Linked DNA regions of Elephas maximus indicus. The protein of the gene in region 2 purifies or fractionates together with the protein of the main gene of each other region. This does not show direct contact. Links are inferred from orthologs where the notes say so. Each region holds a gene or a part of one and is shown on either strand. Other genes may lie near its edges.

Region 1 (7,337 bases), on a different chromosome or scaffold from region 2:
AATGATTGAGGTCTCTGGCCTCCCTACTCCCTGGTTTCCTTTTGAGATTGAAGTTAGAAATCCTTTAGGGATTTGCACTCTTTCTTATTGAGGGAGAGCTTCCCAGCCCCTGCCTCTTTGGCAGTGGCACATGGCTCCTTCCTCTTAGAAGACTTGCTGCCTAGCAGCAGACCTAAGATGCAACCCAGGCAGAACAGAGGCATTTTTCTCAATTAAGTGGCTGGCATCTCTGAGACCTTCTGATTGGACCATGCCCATTCCACTGGAGCTCTGATGACTGATCAAAATTTGAGCTCTCTTTATGGAAGAGGGGAAACCCTGGTGGCACAGTGGTTAAGTGGTATGGCTGCTAACCAAAAAGCTGGCAGTTCGAATACACCAGGTGCTCCTTGGAAACACTATAGGGGATTTCTACTCTGTCCTATAGGGTTGCTATGAGTCAGACTAGACTCAACTCGACAGTAACGGGTTTGGGTTTTTTTTTTTTTTTGGTCATGGAAGAGGTAGGACTTGGAAAGCTTTCTTTATAGGGGAGGTAAGTAAGGTGAGGCTGTACGTTTTGGTGCCACATTCAGTCCCTGAACTATAAAGGTCTATAGAGTTTTGATCCTGGGACTGAGTTTCATTGGCACCTAGGGCCAGGAGAGAGTATAAGAAAAAGAAAGACTGAGATATACTCCTTTACTACCTCATCTATCCCTTTTGTATACTTACATGAGCTCAAAGATCTCCCCGATGAGCATACAAGTGAAGCCATTCTTCTGATGTAGATTATAAACGTGTAATCGTTAAGAAAAAGTAGTTGGTAGAGGCAGCAATTAAGCACACAGACTTTGGTGTCACACACCTGAGCTTAAGTCCTACCTCTCTGACTTTCTAGCTTTATGACTCCGGCCAAGTTACTTAACCTCTAAGCTTTTTTCCACAGTGGTATACGGGGAATAACAAGGCCTATCTTTTAGAATTATTAGATCTAAAACAATACAGGCAAGATACTTAACACATAGCTGACATAGAATGAGTCCAAAAGACATGAATTATTAGGATTATTAGGAACTCATCAAAAAGGAGAATCTCCCTTAGAGAAGTTACTTATAAATTAACACCACAAAGTACAAGGTACATAGCTCTCAGAAATTGTGGGGCATCATTATTTTTAAGGATCATTGTTTCCCCAGCCTCTCATCCCCGTTCCAGGGATTAGAAACAAACTCACCCCAACTTCTCATCAGAGACCTGGCCTAGAGAGAGGCTCAAGATTCTAAAGTCCCAATACAGTCACAAAGGATATTCGAGAGAAGAAGAGGTCAAGGTTTTCAATGTGGTGCCAAGGTGCTGTGGACACAAGGGCAAGGATGTCAGAGCCCTGAAGGAACATCAGCCCCTTGCTCCCTCAGTGTCCCCCCCCACACCCCAGTCCCCATGTCCCAGCTCTGGATGTCATGTCCAAGAACTCACACTTGCTCCCCTCAGGGACATGCACCAACAGGTCTTCCTCCCCTGGAGGTGAATCGCTGTAGGAGGCCTCTAGGCGTTGGTATTCAGTGTCAAACTGCGCCATCACCGCCGCCCCCTGTCCACCTTATCCACCTGCCAGTGATGAGGAAGACGAGACCCTGGTTCAGGCCCAGAGGCTGTCTGCCTGCTGGCCTGCCTACTAGGCCAGGAATGAGAAGGAATCCTTGGGCTTTGTCTCCACTACTAGGCTCCTTGGGCCAAAGGCAGGGGAGAAGGAGTAACCCAAGGAAGGCAGTGAGCTCAGGGCTTGGGAGACCTTAACTGGTCAGTCATTCCCAGAGCTTTTACTGAGTTTCAGTTTCTGCCTTGCTGGCCTGAAGCCAGACTCTGCCCTTTGAGGGACTGTTTTGCCTTCTATTCAGTGGAGAGAAGGGGCCCTCCCGCTCCCCTCCTAGGGAGACCCTGGTCTCCCAAGAGACAAGCAGTTTGGAAGCACTTAGAAAACAAAGGTTTGAAATAAGCACATGACCCTACCAGCTCCATGGACAGTGTCTGCTCCACTCCAGCCGTCGGTGCCCTGGCTCTGCAGCTGCTGGAGGAGAAGATGTCAGGCCCCAGAGAGTGGGAAGTGGGGACAGAAAGGCACTGAACTCTCCCACTCACTCCCACCTCCCATTAAGAGGAGGTCAAGCATGGGGCAGGGAGGCTGCAGTGGGGAAGAAGTGCTGTTTCAGCCTAGGAGTATCAACAGTTTCTCTGGCTGTATGGTCCATTCAACTCAGGGTACCAGGAAGTGACTTACTGACCTGTGGAGCCTGGGTCAGCGTGGGCCTGAAGTCCAGTGGCCCCTCTGGACTATTTCCTCATTGTCCCACCTCAGCTTCAGAAATAAGGCAAGCATCTCAGGGTCCAGAAAGCCCCAAGCCCAAAACCCAAGAAAAGTCTTTTCTGAGGCTCTTTCTAGTCAACCTTTCCCTGCTTCCCTAGCACCAAAGATTCAGCAGACAGGCATGGCTCTTGAGGGGAACTTTCTCACTGGATCAATGGAGACCCCAGATCCCGTATGAATTTGTAGGTTCTCTGGCGCCAGACATGATCTCAGTGGCACTCACCCAGTTAGTACAGACCCCGGGGGCGACGAGTCTTGGCCCAGTCTGGCCCCAGTGGGACTCTGGATTAGGGAGAGCTCTGAGTCCAGAGGAGATGATCAAGCCCTCAGAGAAATCACCACTCACCGGGTCTGGGTGGACTCTGGGCCCGTGGAGCCTCGGCTAGGCCTGGGCTCAGGGGTTCCTGCGGATGTTGAAGGAATCCAGCCGGGCCTACAGCCGATAGCCCGGGTGGGTAGAGGTGCCTTCCCACATCCAGCCGCCACGACCTGAGCCCCAGGGTCGCCTGGCCCCTGAACAAGGGCTCAGCTCCCAACAGCGGACAACCTCTCGCGCGGCCCCGCCGCCAGGGCGCGCCCCCGCCATCAAAACATTCTGACTGCGCGTCCCCGCCCCGCCCGCGACGCCCCTTCCCCCGTTACCCGCCGCGAGCTCTCTTAGGGCTCCGTGGGCATCCCTGGCTCGCCCCGGTCCAGGTCCTGGGATTTCAGTTACCGGTCTAGTGTTTCACCTCAGGAACGGTGACCCGGGTGATTTCAGGGGCTCGCTCGGCTCGGCTCGGCTCGGCTCGGCCGGACCCTGAGCGCTAGGCCCGGCGTCTGCCAGTCACCGTCACCCGCAGCCAGCCTGGCCAATGAGCATACGGGGTGGAAGCACGACGGCCAATTCTCGGCTCTGAGGACGGGACTAAAGGCTCGAGGCGGATCTGGCACAGTCAGGGAACCAATACTGTGCTCTACGAGCGGCGGGGCCGAGGTACGGGAGATGTTGTTTGTCCCCTTCGCCGCTCCGTAGCGACGGGACTGTCGTGTTACAGAAGTGCAGGCCTCGAGTTGTAGACGTGCGTGCCGCTCGGCTCCCGGGGATATTTGGTGCAGCTGGTACCGGCGGCAGCGAGTCTATGCAGTTCAGTAGATACCGGAGCTCGTCGTTCGGGTAACGAGGAGCGGTCCATTAGGGAACATCAGTGATTTTAACTGCTAGACTCGATTTAGTAGCTGGCTGCTCCCCCATTTCACTCTCGCGTGGTCTGAGGTTGGGGGTTTGAATAAGCGACCCGGGTCACGTATTTACCCCGGATCTGACTCCGGAGTACCGAGGTGAAGGCCGATATACTTCACGGCTTAGAGGTGACCGAGTCAGTGAGTCCGGAGACGCGGGCAGTAGGATCTCGCTTTAGGGAGTTCGGTTCCTTTCCCCTTTCTGCTCCAGGAGCCGTTTCTAAGTAATTCCTGCTGAGGCATGTCGCCCACTTCAGCTGCAGCCCCGGCTCCTGCGTCGGTCTCCCTGTTTGACCTCAACGCGGATGCCCTGATCTTTCAGGGCCTGAGTCTGGTGAGCCACGTTCCCAGGGAGGCTCTGGCCCAGGCCCTGCACTGTCCAGGTATCCGGGAAGGTTTGGGGTGGACCCACAAGGAACATGACAGGACTATTTGGAGTACATTGCTTCTCCATGGAGCTTGTCTTTATTGGTATTCCCCAGCTCAGGAGCCCACTTTGGTTTCCCTTTCTGCTGGATAAAATTGATCCCTTCAGTTAATCTCGGGGTGGTTTCCAGCACAGGCCCCTGAATTGTCTCCAGACAAGTCTCTTGCCTTTACTTATATCTTTTCTCATTAACACCAATGCCTTCCAAAAATATTTATATATTTAGTTTTATATAATTTTGGTTCGTTTCTGTTTGTGTTTTCTTGCGCCTCTCTTTAAATAAACTACACACTGTAATTGAAAATGTAAGCTAAAAAAACCGACATTTGGGGAGTGGTTTTTGCAGTTAAAAAGAATTCTAATCATACAAAAAGTTATTTTCTGCAGGATTTCTCTAAACTACTCCTCTGGTTCACTTAAGTGCAATGTTTGGTTTGTATTCATTTTATATATTTTTTTTTCAGAAGCATATAACATTATATAAGGTGATTACCGTTCCATTTCTTTCATATTACTTAATTGTAAATTCTTTGAAGATAAGGACATGCCATCTTCTTTTGTAACCTCCTCTGCTTTGTACCATGGATTTGGACTCCTTTTCTACCTCCAGTTATCCTTCCCATATTTAGGTTCAGGTGAGAGAGCGAGCCCAAAAAGAAAACTACTCCAGGGTCCTCCAGATATTTCGGAGAAGTTACATTGTTTAACCTGTGACCACACCTTGCAGAACCACCAGGAGCAGGTAAAGGGCTAGAGTGAGGGCTAGATGTTGGAAGTATAGGTATAATGGTGGGTGGGGAGAGGTACAGTTGTCTTAAAGAAGGTCTATGCTTTGACTAAGGAACTCAGTAAGTTTGTTACTCGTCATACTTTCTGGAACTCCATTCCTACTCTTGGCTACCACATTTTCATCTTCTGCCTCCCTCTTTTCTTCCTACCAGAGAGAACATTATAAGCTTGACTGGCATCGGTTTAACTTAAAGCAACGTCTTAAGGACAAGCCCCACCTCTCTGCCTTGGACTTCGAAAAGCAGAGCTCCACAGGTGACAACTGGTGGGAAACCTGAATGGGAGTATGACATGGGGTAGAGAAAGGCTAGTTCAGGAGTTTAGGGAAAGGTCAAAGTTGGGGTATCAAACTTGTGTATCATGTTGTCCACAGGAGATCTTTCCAGCATCTCAGGATCAGAAGACTCAGACTCAGCCAGTGAGGAGGATTTGCAGATAGTAGATGAGGAAAGGGCTGAATTTGAGAAGCCTAACCAACCACGAGGCTTCCACCCGCATCAGGTTCTTTTCCGAAACGCCCAGGGCCAGTTCCTCTCTGCCTACCGTTGTATCCTAGGCCCTCGCCAGGCAAGTGACAGCACAGGTTGTATGGTCAACCCTGGCCTTTTGTATGATCTCTCTAGATTTCCCCTTAGCCCAGTCTGTTTCTCACTTCTTCCCTTTCTTCCTGTCTTGGTATAGGCATCACACTTGACAGCCATAGTCTTGGGTTAAGCTGACCTGAATCTGGGAAGGATTAACAGTAGTGGAATTAAGTTTGGGAACAGACTGGTCTAGGTTTCAGTTGCGGTTCTACCACTTGTTCTTGGCTACCACTACAAGCCTCAAATTTTCTTATTTGTAAAATGGAGACAATCCTCAGGGTGACTGTATTAAATGAGATAGCGCTGGCATTTGGGAGTCTTTTCGGTATTGGTTTCTTGCTTTCCGTGAATGCAACAGGTAGAATGTTTGTGCTTCTCCTCTTTCAACCAGGTGCCCCCAGAAGAGGCAGGACTTCTGCTACAGAACCTGCGAAGTGGAGGTCCCAGATTCTGTGTGGTGCTCATGGCTGCAGCTGGGCACTTTGCTGGTGCCATTTTCCAAGGGTGAGAGGGTGCTACATAGGGTGAGGATGGAATGGATCCTGTTAGCCTGGGAGCATCAGCTGGTCTCTAGTACTGAATCTGTGCTGTCTACAGAAGAGAAGTGGTGGCACACAAAACTTTTCACCGCTACACTGTACGGGCCAAGCGGGGCACAGCCCAGGGGCTTCAGGATGCCCGGGGTGGGGCTTCTCACTCTGCTGGAGCCAGCTTGAGGCGCTATAATGAAGCCACACTATGTAAGGTGAGTTAGGCCTCCCAGATCTGGCAGTCTTCTGATCCACACTTTTTTCTCTTTTCAATTTAACTCATTAAGTGTTGTAGTGGAGAGGTGTTTTACTTCCATATCTTTCCAATCTTCATCATTTCTGGGTAAACAAAGGTAGAAAAGGAATCCCCAGGGTCTTTAGTACTCATTCTTTCTCACTTTGTGTTATCTCCTACCTCTATGATCTGTGGGTTTTTGGGTTGGAAATTTTAAAATAGCACGTAGAGATGTGCAGGGCTGAGTTACTCTCTCTCCTCTAGGAGGTTCGTGACCTGTTGGCAGGGCCAGGCTGGGCTGAGGCGCTGGTGGAGGCTGGGACCATTCTGCTGCGTGCCCCCCGCTCTGGCCGATCCTTGTTCTTTGGAGGCCGTGGGGCACCCCTGCAATGGGGGGACCCCCGACTTTGGGATATCCCCCTCACCACCCGCAGACCCACCTTCCGAGAGCTACAGCGTGTGCTCCATAAGCTGACTACTTTGCATGTCCATGGTGAGCCTTTGATACAGATCCCCAGATCCCTAGGTTCCTTAGACCTTGCTGTACTCCCAGCCTCAGGTTCTCACGTGTGCATCCAAAGATTTTCCAGGTCCTGAACCGCAGCGCAACCACATCTTCGCTGAGAAGCCTGGGCTGGCTTCTCAGCTACACTTGAGAGTGATCTTTTGTTTGTGGCAGGAGAAGACCCCCGGGAGGCAGTCAGATCAGACTCACCTCAAACACACTGGAAGACAATGAAAGTGGAGAGGAAGGAGGCTATCGAAGAAGAAAGAAGAAAGGTCCCCAGTGATGAAAATGAGGAACTTGGGCAGAATGCACAGTCTCCCAAACAGGGTTTGAGCAACATTTGGCAACTGTCAAATCCCTATATGGGTGTCTATCCTGGAAACGCAGTGGTAGATTTGCTACCCAGATAACTTACCCATGTCCCTATTTACAGATGGGCCCTTCTACCCCAACATACGTATTTACAACCATACCAGTGTCTGCTTATAAAATGGGATATGTCATAACAATTACTGAGACATGCTCAGTGATTGTCTTTCCCATATCTTACCTCTTTTGTTCACTGATGTATCCCCAGGACTTAGAACAATCTTGACACAAAATAGATGCTTGAGTATTCACGTTGCATGAATCTGTTGTATTTGTTTGTCTTACTCCATGCTGTGGTTTTGGGCTGAGCTGCTTTCCTGGCTGCAG
Region 2 (7,163 bases):
TGGAGGCTCTGAGTAGCAGAGACGCGTGGTCATGAATTGCTTCAGGTGTTATTCACTTAGTGTTGCTTAAACACCATCTGCTCAAGAGGTGAGCTTTCCAGGCATGAAGTCCACGGTGAGGGGAAGAATAAATGTCGTCTTGGTTGCTGAAAATGAGCTTCCGAAAGGCAAGACTGGTCATGCTTCTCCCAGCCACAATTTCCCTGTGGTGGCTCCTCCTCCCTGTGTCCTTCTGTCCCCTCTTCCATCTGTACATCTCAACACCCACAGTCCCCTTGGTGCTGCCCTCCATGCACCAGCATTATGAGGGATGACTGGCTCTCCAGCCCCAGTGGCTGCCCCTGACCCCCGTGCACCCACTGGACTGCCTCCCTGTTAACCTGACTGCCACCTGGTCACCTTCCCAAACCCAGACCTCCTCCGGGAGCCTTCTGTAACCACCTCCCTTCCTGCAGCCGAAGTGAGGTTGAGCAACTGTGGCCCCTCAGGGCTTGTCCCTGCCCTTGTGGCTGCAGGATTTGACCATCCGGTAATGTATCTGCTGCCTGGCGTGTCTCCCAGCTGGACTGAGGGCTGTGGACAGTAGGCTGGGCATGGGGCTGAGCCTCGCATATCGCTCAGCAAGTCCCCACAACATCCCCGAAACGGACTCACTTGATCAATGAGGAAAGTGAGGCCCAAGGGGAGGTGCCTGCCAAGGCCACACACTGTGCTGCAGGGAAGGGTGCTGAGCTCGCCCAGGCCCCAGGGCCAAAGGGGCCCCCTGTGCCTGGCACAGTGCTCAACACGTGCTAGGTGCTCACATAACATTTGCTAAAGCCATGAGCCAGTGAGACGGGCCAGGGCGGAAGCAGAACACAAGCACAAAGCCTCAGGGTACACTGCTCCTCCAGTCCTGGGGTGCCCGTCTTCCCTGCCTCTGAGAAGGCTGGGCAAGGAAGCCAAACAAGGGAGCCAAAAGCTGTTGACTCTGGGTGGCATCCAAGGAGGGGAGCCTCAGGCCATCCACTCATGGGAAAGGTGTTGGGGGTGGAGGGAGAGGCAGTCAGGTCACCTCTTGGCTCCTGTCTGCTTCTGTGCTAACTTCCCTTCCCTCCCCCAGGACCTGACATCCACGTCCCTCTCAATGATCAACATCAGACTTGTCTGACATTGTTGTATCTGTTTTTGTCACTCCCAGATGTAAGAGGTCAGATGGCCATTGCCTCTCCACCACTGGGTGGGCTTGGGGGAGGACAGCAGCCCACCTCTGAAAGGCTTTCATGACCACTCCTTTAAGCAGCTCTCTCAGACACCCCTAAGGTCCCTGAGTGACTCAAGCAGTTTGTGCTTGGCTGCGAACCTAAAGATTGGCAGTTCAAACCCACCCCACAGTGTGGCAGAAGAAAGTCCTAGTGATCGTCCATATAGATAATAGCCAAGAAAACCCTGTGGAGCTCAGTTCTTTGTAACACATGGGAACGCTGTGAGTCAGAATGGACTTGACGGCAACGAGTTTGGTTTTGGTTTTTTGGTCAGACTCTCCTGGAAAGGCACCTGGTTTTTGGAACCAGCATAAGCTCCTGATCCAGGCATGTCCAACACTCCCTCCCACCTCAGTGCACTTGCCACTTTTTTGGGGGGCCTCCTTGATCCCTGAGTTGAGGTGGGACCTCCCTACTATACATGGTCATCGCTCTTCCACTGCAGTGCATATTGGTTTGTGTTTTTTGAGGTTACTGCCCAACTCCCCTACCAAACTGTGGGCCCCACGGGACAGGGACTGCTCCCCCTGCTTGGCGCTAGTCCCTGAGTAGTGCAAACGGTTACACTAGACTGCTAGCTGAAAGGTCGGTGGTTTAAAACCACCCGGCAGTGCCTCGGAAGACAGGCCTGGCAATGTGCTTCTGAAAAGTTACAGCCTTGAAAATCCTATGCAGAACAGCTCTACTCTGCACACATGAGGTGGCCATGCGTCAGAATTGACTGGCAACTAACAACCTGTAACATTCTGGAATCCCTGGATGGTGCAAATGCTTTACAAGTTTGGCTGCTAACTGAAAGATTGGTACTGAGTCCATCCTGAAGCACCTTGGAAGAAAGGCCTGGCTATCTACTTCAAAAGGTCACAGCCTAGAAAACCCTGTGGAGCACAGTTCTGCTTTGCACTCATTGAGTCATCGTAATTTGGAGTGGAGAAACCAGAACAGCAGCCTGGTCTAGCGCTCAGTACCAGTCCTACAAAAATTAGCTGAGCCAATAGGTGATTCTGGGTTTGCCTCCTGGGATCGAGGCCTCCACCTGCCATTTCTCTGCGACCCGTGTGACCTTGGGTGGGTGCTTCAGCCTCTGTGCCTCGGTTTCCCCCTCTGCACATTGGCGCTTCCACTGCCCACTTCACCTAACTCTTGTACAGACTCAGTGTCACCATGAACGTTCCTTGAGCAACGCCTACCGGGTCTGGGACAGAAAAGGTGCCCGCTGAACTGTAGCGGCTGCGACTCCAAGAGCGGAACGAACCCCAGGGCATGCTGTTCTCGCCACGCCTCGCCACTTCTGGCCAAGGGTCGCGCGGTCCCTCAGCGCTGGGCCTGCCCTCCCTGAGGCCTCCCGGGCCCCCACGGAGGCCTGAGTTCCCGAGCCTCGCTGAGAGGCGGGGAGGGTGGTGAAGCCGGTTACCTGGCGGTTGCCAACCACAAGGCAGCCCACTGCATTACCTAGCAACAGGGCGGGGCTCGCGGGCAGAAGACCCCGCCTGCTTCTCCAGTAATAGGGTGGAGTCCTCAGGTGCGGCCCTGCAGCCTCCCGGCCTCACACCTTGGTGGGGCCCACTGGCCAGTCACCTAGCAACGGGGTGGGTCCCCGAGGGGCGAGGCCCCCGCCGGTTTCCCGGCAACGATGCGGGTGGGGAGCCCTGAGTACCTTGCCCTTCAGGTCCAGCACGTAGACGGCGCTAGCGGACATGGCGGCTGCCGGAGGCCTCGGCGGCAGCCTCAACAGCAGCTGCGGAAACAGCCGGGCGTTGATCAAGGCCGGCGCCCCGCGACAGCCCGCCTCCACTTCCGGTCTGGGAGCCGCGCGCGGACCGTTATGTCCGGCCTGGGCGGAGTTGCCAGCATCGCGCAGGCGCAGAACGGAGCGTGCACAGGCGCAGAAGCCCGGTGCGAGCCACGTTTCCCACCCCGCCTCCAGAATCCAGAAGTCCGCGCCTAGTTAGGTGCAAGATGTCAAAGGGGGGCCTCACCTGGGGCCCAGGCTTTACGGAGCCGCAGTCTGATGTGGGAGTCTAGAAGGCTCCGTTGGGAGGGGAGAGGTGGCGATTTACTTGGAAAAAGGTCAAGGAAACTCTCTGAAAGGCAGTTACGCCTTACCGCGGTCACTGTCACCTGTCATTACTAACGTTCGTCAGTGGAAAAGCGTGGTTTTCTGCTTATTGCCTGGAATGATCTCGTGAAAACCACGCCCTCACTGAACATAGATGAAAAGAACAGTCTGTTTTATTGTGGTAAAAATATGTAATATTTACCATTTCAATAGTTTTTACATGTACAATCGAGTGATGCTGTGTTCATCATGTTGTGCAGCCATCTCAGTTTCTAAATTTTTCCATCACTCGTAACAGAAGGGAAACCCTGGTGGCCTAGTGGGTAAGTGCTATGGCTGCTAACCAAGAGGTCGGCAATTCAAATCCGCCAGGCGCTCCTTGGAAACTATAGGGTCGCTGAGTCGGAATCGACTCCACAGCAGTGCGTTTGGTTTGGTTTTGGTTTCTTAACAAAAGCTCACTGCTTCCTAAGAAATAACTTCGCCTTTTTTCCCTCCTCCCATCCCTGGTCTAAAAAAAAAAAAAAAAAAAGCTGCCATCAGTTCCGACTCATGATGACCCTATCTGCTCCACAGGGTTTTCTTGGCTGGTGGCACATACAGTTACACACCCAGCTGCTAACCAAAAGGCCGGCAGTTCAAACCCAGGCAGCCGCTCGGCAGAAAGACCTGGCCATCCACCCCCATAAAGACTATCGCCAAGAAAACCATATGGAGCATTCCACTATCACATGGGGTCACTATGAGTTGCCAATGCCTCAGTGGCACCTGACAAAAAATCTCTGTGGAAGATAGCTGGGCTTTCTTCTGGGTCGCCACTGGGTGGTTCTGAACCACCTTTAGTGGTCCAGCACAAACCATTTGCACCACTCAGGGACCTTTTGTTTTTAGTCCTTTAAGGTATTGTCATGGATTGAATTGTGTCCCCCAAAAACACATCTATCAATTTGGGTAGGCCACGATTTCCAGTATTGTGTGATTGTTCACCATTTTGTCATCTGATGTGATTTTCCTATGTGTTGTAAATACTGTCTCTATGATGCTAATGAGATGGGATTAGTGGCAGTTACGTTACTGAGGCAGGACTTGATCTACAAGATTAGGTTCTGTTTTAAGCCAATCTCTTTTGAGATATAACAGAAGCAAGGGATGGCGGGGGTATGACTCATAACACCAAGAAAGCAGCACTGGTATCCAGGGTTCCCAGTGCAGGGAAGCTCCCAGACCAGGGGAAGATTGATGACAAGGGCCTTCCCCCAGAACTGGTAAAGAGAGAAAGCCTTCCCCTAGAACTGGCACCCTCATTTTGGACTTCTAGCCTTCTAGACTGTAAGAGAACAAATTTCATTGTTAAAACCACCCACTTCTGGTATTTCTGTTATAGCAGCACTAGATAGCTAAGACAGGCATGCACACCCTTCATGTGCGATAAATTCAAGAGGCCGCCTCCCGTGTGGAAACCAAACAGCTTATAACTAAGACACACAGACTCATTTAATAATTGGTTGTTGCTTTATTCTGCAGTTCACATGTAACAGCCTCAAGCCCCACACTTGATTTTTGTCTTCTCGCTTTGTTACTCTTTCAGAAGCTGGGTCAGCAGAGACTGTCTCCCCCAGTATACAGATTGAGCCTCATCCAATAAACACAGGCCCCCAAAAGACCCTGGCTCTCCACCGCCGGTAATGGGGTCCTTCTGTTTGATCACATACATGTCTGTCTGTGCTGGAGTTCAGCCCTGGTCATGTGCCAACTTGGAACCCTGGCTGAGGGGGGAGTCAGGTGGTATCTGGGCTCCATTACAAAGAAGGCTGTGAATGATTTGCAATGTCTGCCACAGGGGCCATGGTGACACCCATTAGAAGTGTCTGGGATGGGGAAACTGGGAGAGGGGCTGCAAGCCAGTCATGGGCTCAGAAAGGGACCAGGTGGGATGCTTCATCCCTGCCATAGGCAGCCATCCTCTGCGTCCCAGGCAAGAGGGCTGTGGAGGTGGTTGGAAGACCACAAAGCCATGGGTAGCTTCCCTGCATCCTGGATGGAAGAGCTTAAGCCCCAAGCTCATGGGAGTTTAGAAGGGGAGCCTACATATAAGGGGGTCTGCACACTGCAGGCCACACCAGCATTAGCTCCTTATCCTCTGGAGTCAGTTTTATCTGGATGAAGAGAACTGCTTGGTTGTCCTCAGAAGCTTAAATGCAACTCAGAGAACTAAATATTCTTACATGGCACTTACACAGCAACGACTTGAACCTCTGGATAAACTTCCAAAGCTTTCCAGCCCACACTAAAAACCAAAATTGAGTCAAAGGACAGTCTTACTTTAATCAAGTTCTAGAACAAGGAGACAGTTTCAAAATGCACGGTTGCAGCAGAAAATGCAAAGGCATGGGTAAAAGAATGTTTCTAGAAAATGCCAAAGGGACCCGACTTAACCCCAACTCTGTCTTCTGCTTCCCCATGAGGCCACGCCATGCCCAGGGGCCAGGAGGCTACTTGGTCCAGCTGACTTTGGGGATGTCATAATGTTCTGTGAGTGTGTCCAGGTGTCTGTTGAAGTCCTGTGAAGGTCAAGGAGAAAGCTCGTCTCAGCACTGACCCATGCAGGGTGTGAAGGGCACAAAGCCTTGCCCACACCACCTCTTCCATGTCCTGCCTCTCCTTTCCTACTCTCCACTCAAACCCAACTTGCCAGGTCCTATAGATGCCCGAACCCTGGGCTCTCCCTTGAATGACCCTGGGAGGACCCTGTGGTGGTTAATTTTGCATCAACTTGGCTAGGCGATGGTGCCCAGTTGTTTCATCAAACACCAGTCTAGTTGTTACTGTGGTGGTTCAGCGGTAGAGTTCTTGCTCTCCATGTGGAAGACCTGGGTTCCATTCCTAGCCAATGCACCTCAAGCGCAGCCACCACCCATCTGTCCGTGGAGACTTGCATGTTCAGCAGAGCTTCCAGACTAAGACGGACTAGGAAAAAAGGCCTGGTGATCTACTTCCAAAAATTTGCCAGTGAAAACCCTTTGGATTACAATGGTCCAATCCATAACAAATGGGGATGGCGCAGGACCGGGCAGTGTTTGGTTCCATTGTGCATGGGATTGCCATGAGCTGGGCGTTGACTGAATAGCAGCTAATAATTGTTTTTATCAGCTGGTCTTAAGCAGATTACCCTCATAAAGTGTGTGAGCCTCATCCAAGCAGCTGAAGGCCTTACGAGCAAACCACAGGTTTCCCAAGGGAAAATTCTGCCTCTAGACTAGATATTCTGTCAGAATCCCCCTCTCCCCAGCCGCCTGACTTACTGATTTTGGGACAGAATACTGCAGGAGTCTACAGTCTATCTCCTAACCTATGGATTTTGCATTTGCCAGCCCCCCAAAGGTTCATGAACCAATTCTTCAAAATAAATCTGTGTGTGTGTGTGCGTGCGTGCGTGCGTGCGTGTGTGTGTGAATACAGGTAGTCCCCAGGCTACGAACGAGATCCATTCCTAACTCTGTCTTTAAGTCGAATTTGCAGGTAAGTCAGAACAGGTACATATGATTCTTATTTAGTGTCAGTCAAATGTTTGTCTTAGTATATATTTTACCTTTCTATGCATATAAAACCCTTAAATACTTCCAAATACACTAAAACATCATGAACGTAATACAGTACATAATAATACGATAATAAAAATAACTACATACAATACTGTACTGAAGAGAGAATCTGTGTGTGTAGGTATACAGCACTGTAAAAAAAAAAATTAAAGGAACAGTTCTTAAAACAGTTTAGATAGAAGAAAAAAAAAGAAAAAAGATCCTGATTAAAGGTTAACACTTACTCTTGTTCCATCAGTGTCTTGCATACCGGAAGGG

What was found.
Region 1: the proteins of AP1M1 (region 2) and ATG9A purify together in Homo sapiens (affinity purification with western blotting, with the first as the bait; 3 studies listed by BioGRID). This does not show direct contact. The link is inferred for Elephas maximus indicus from reciprocal best matches to the Homo sapiens genes AP1M1 and ATG9A.

What each region holds. Positions count from the first base shown.
Region 1 is NC_064824.1:117,820,891-117,828,227, forward strand, and holds the start of ATG9A (autophagy-related protein 9A), read right to left. Parts: upstream 3,182-7,337; 5' UTR 3,063-3,181; exon of another isoform or gene 2,990-3,062; intron 2,967-2,989; exon of another isoform or gene 2,051-2,966; 5' UTR 1,993-2,050; intron 1,591-1,992; 5' UTR 1,562-1,590; coding exon 1,459-1,561; intron 1,336-1,458; coding exon 1,292-1,335; intron 780-1,291; coding exon 715-779; intron 1-714. Other genes in the region: ANKZF1 (ankyrin repeat and zinc finger domain-containing protein 1), read left to right, coding at 3,810-3,951, 4,625-4,737, 4,937-5,039, 5,158-5,351, 5,760-5,872, 5,966-6,113, 6,398-6,626, 6,813-6,968. UniProt on the Homo sapiens protein: Phospholipid scramblase involved in autophagy by mediating autophagosomal membrane expansion. Cycles between the preautophagosomal structure/phagophore assembly site (PAS) and the cytoplasmic vesicle pool and supplies membrane for the growing autophagosome.
Region 2 is NC_064821.1:36,437,018-36,444,180, reverse strand, and holds the start of AP1M1 (AP-1 complex subunit mu-1), read right to left. Parts: upstream 3,044-7,163; 5' UTR 2,944-3,043; coding exon 2,902-2,943; intron 1-2,901. Other genes in the region: protein FAM32A, read right to left, coding at 5,796-5,864. UniProt on the Homo sapiens protein: Subunit of clathrin-associated adaptor protein complex 1 that plays a role in protein sorting in the trans-Golgi network (TGN) and endosomes.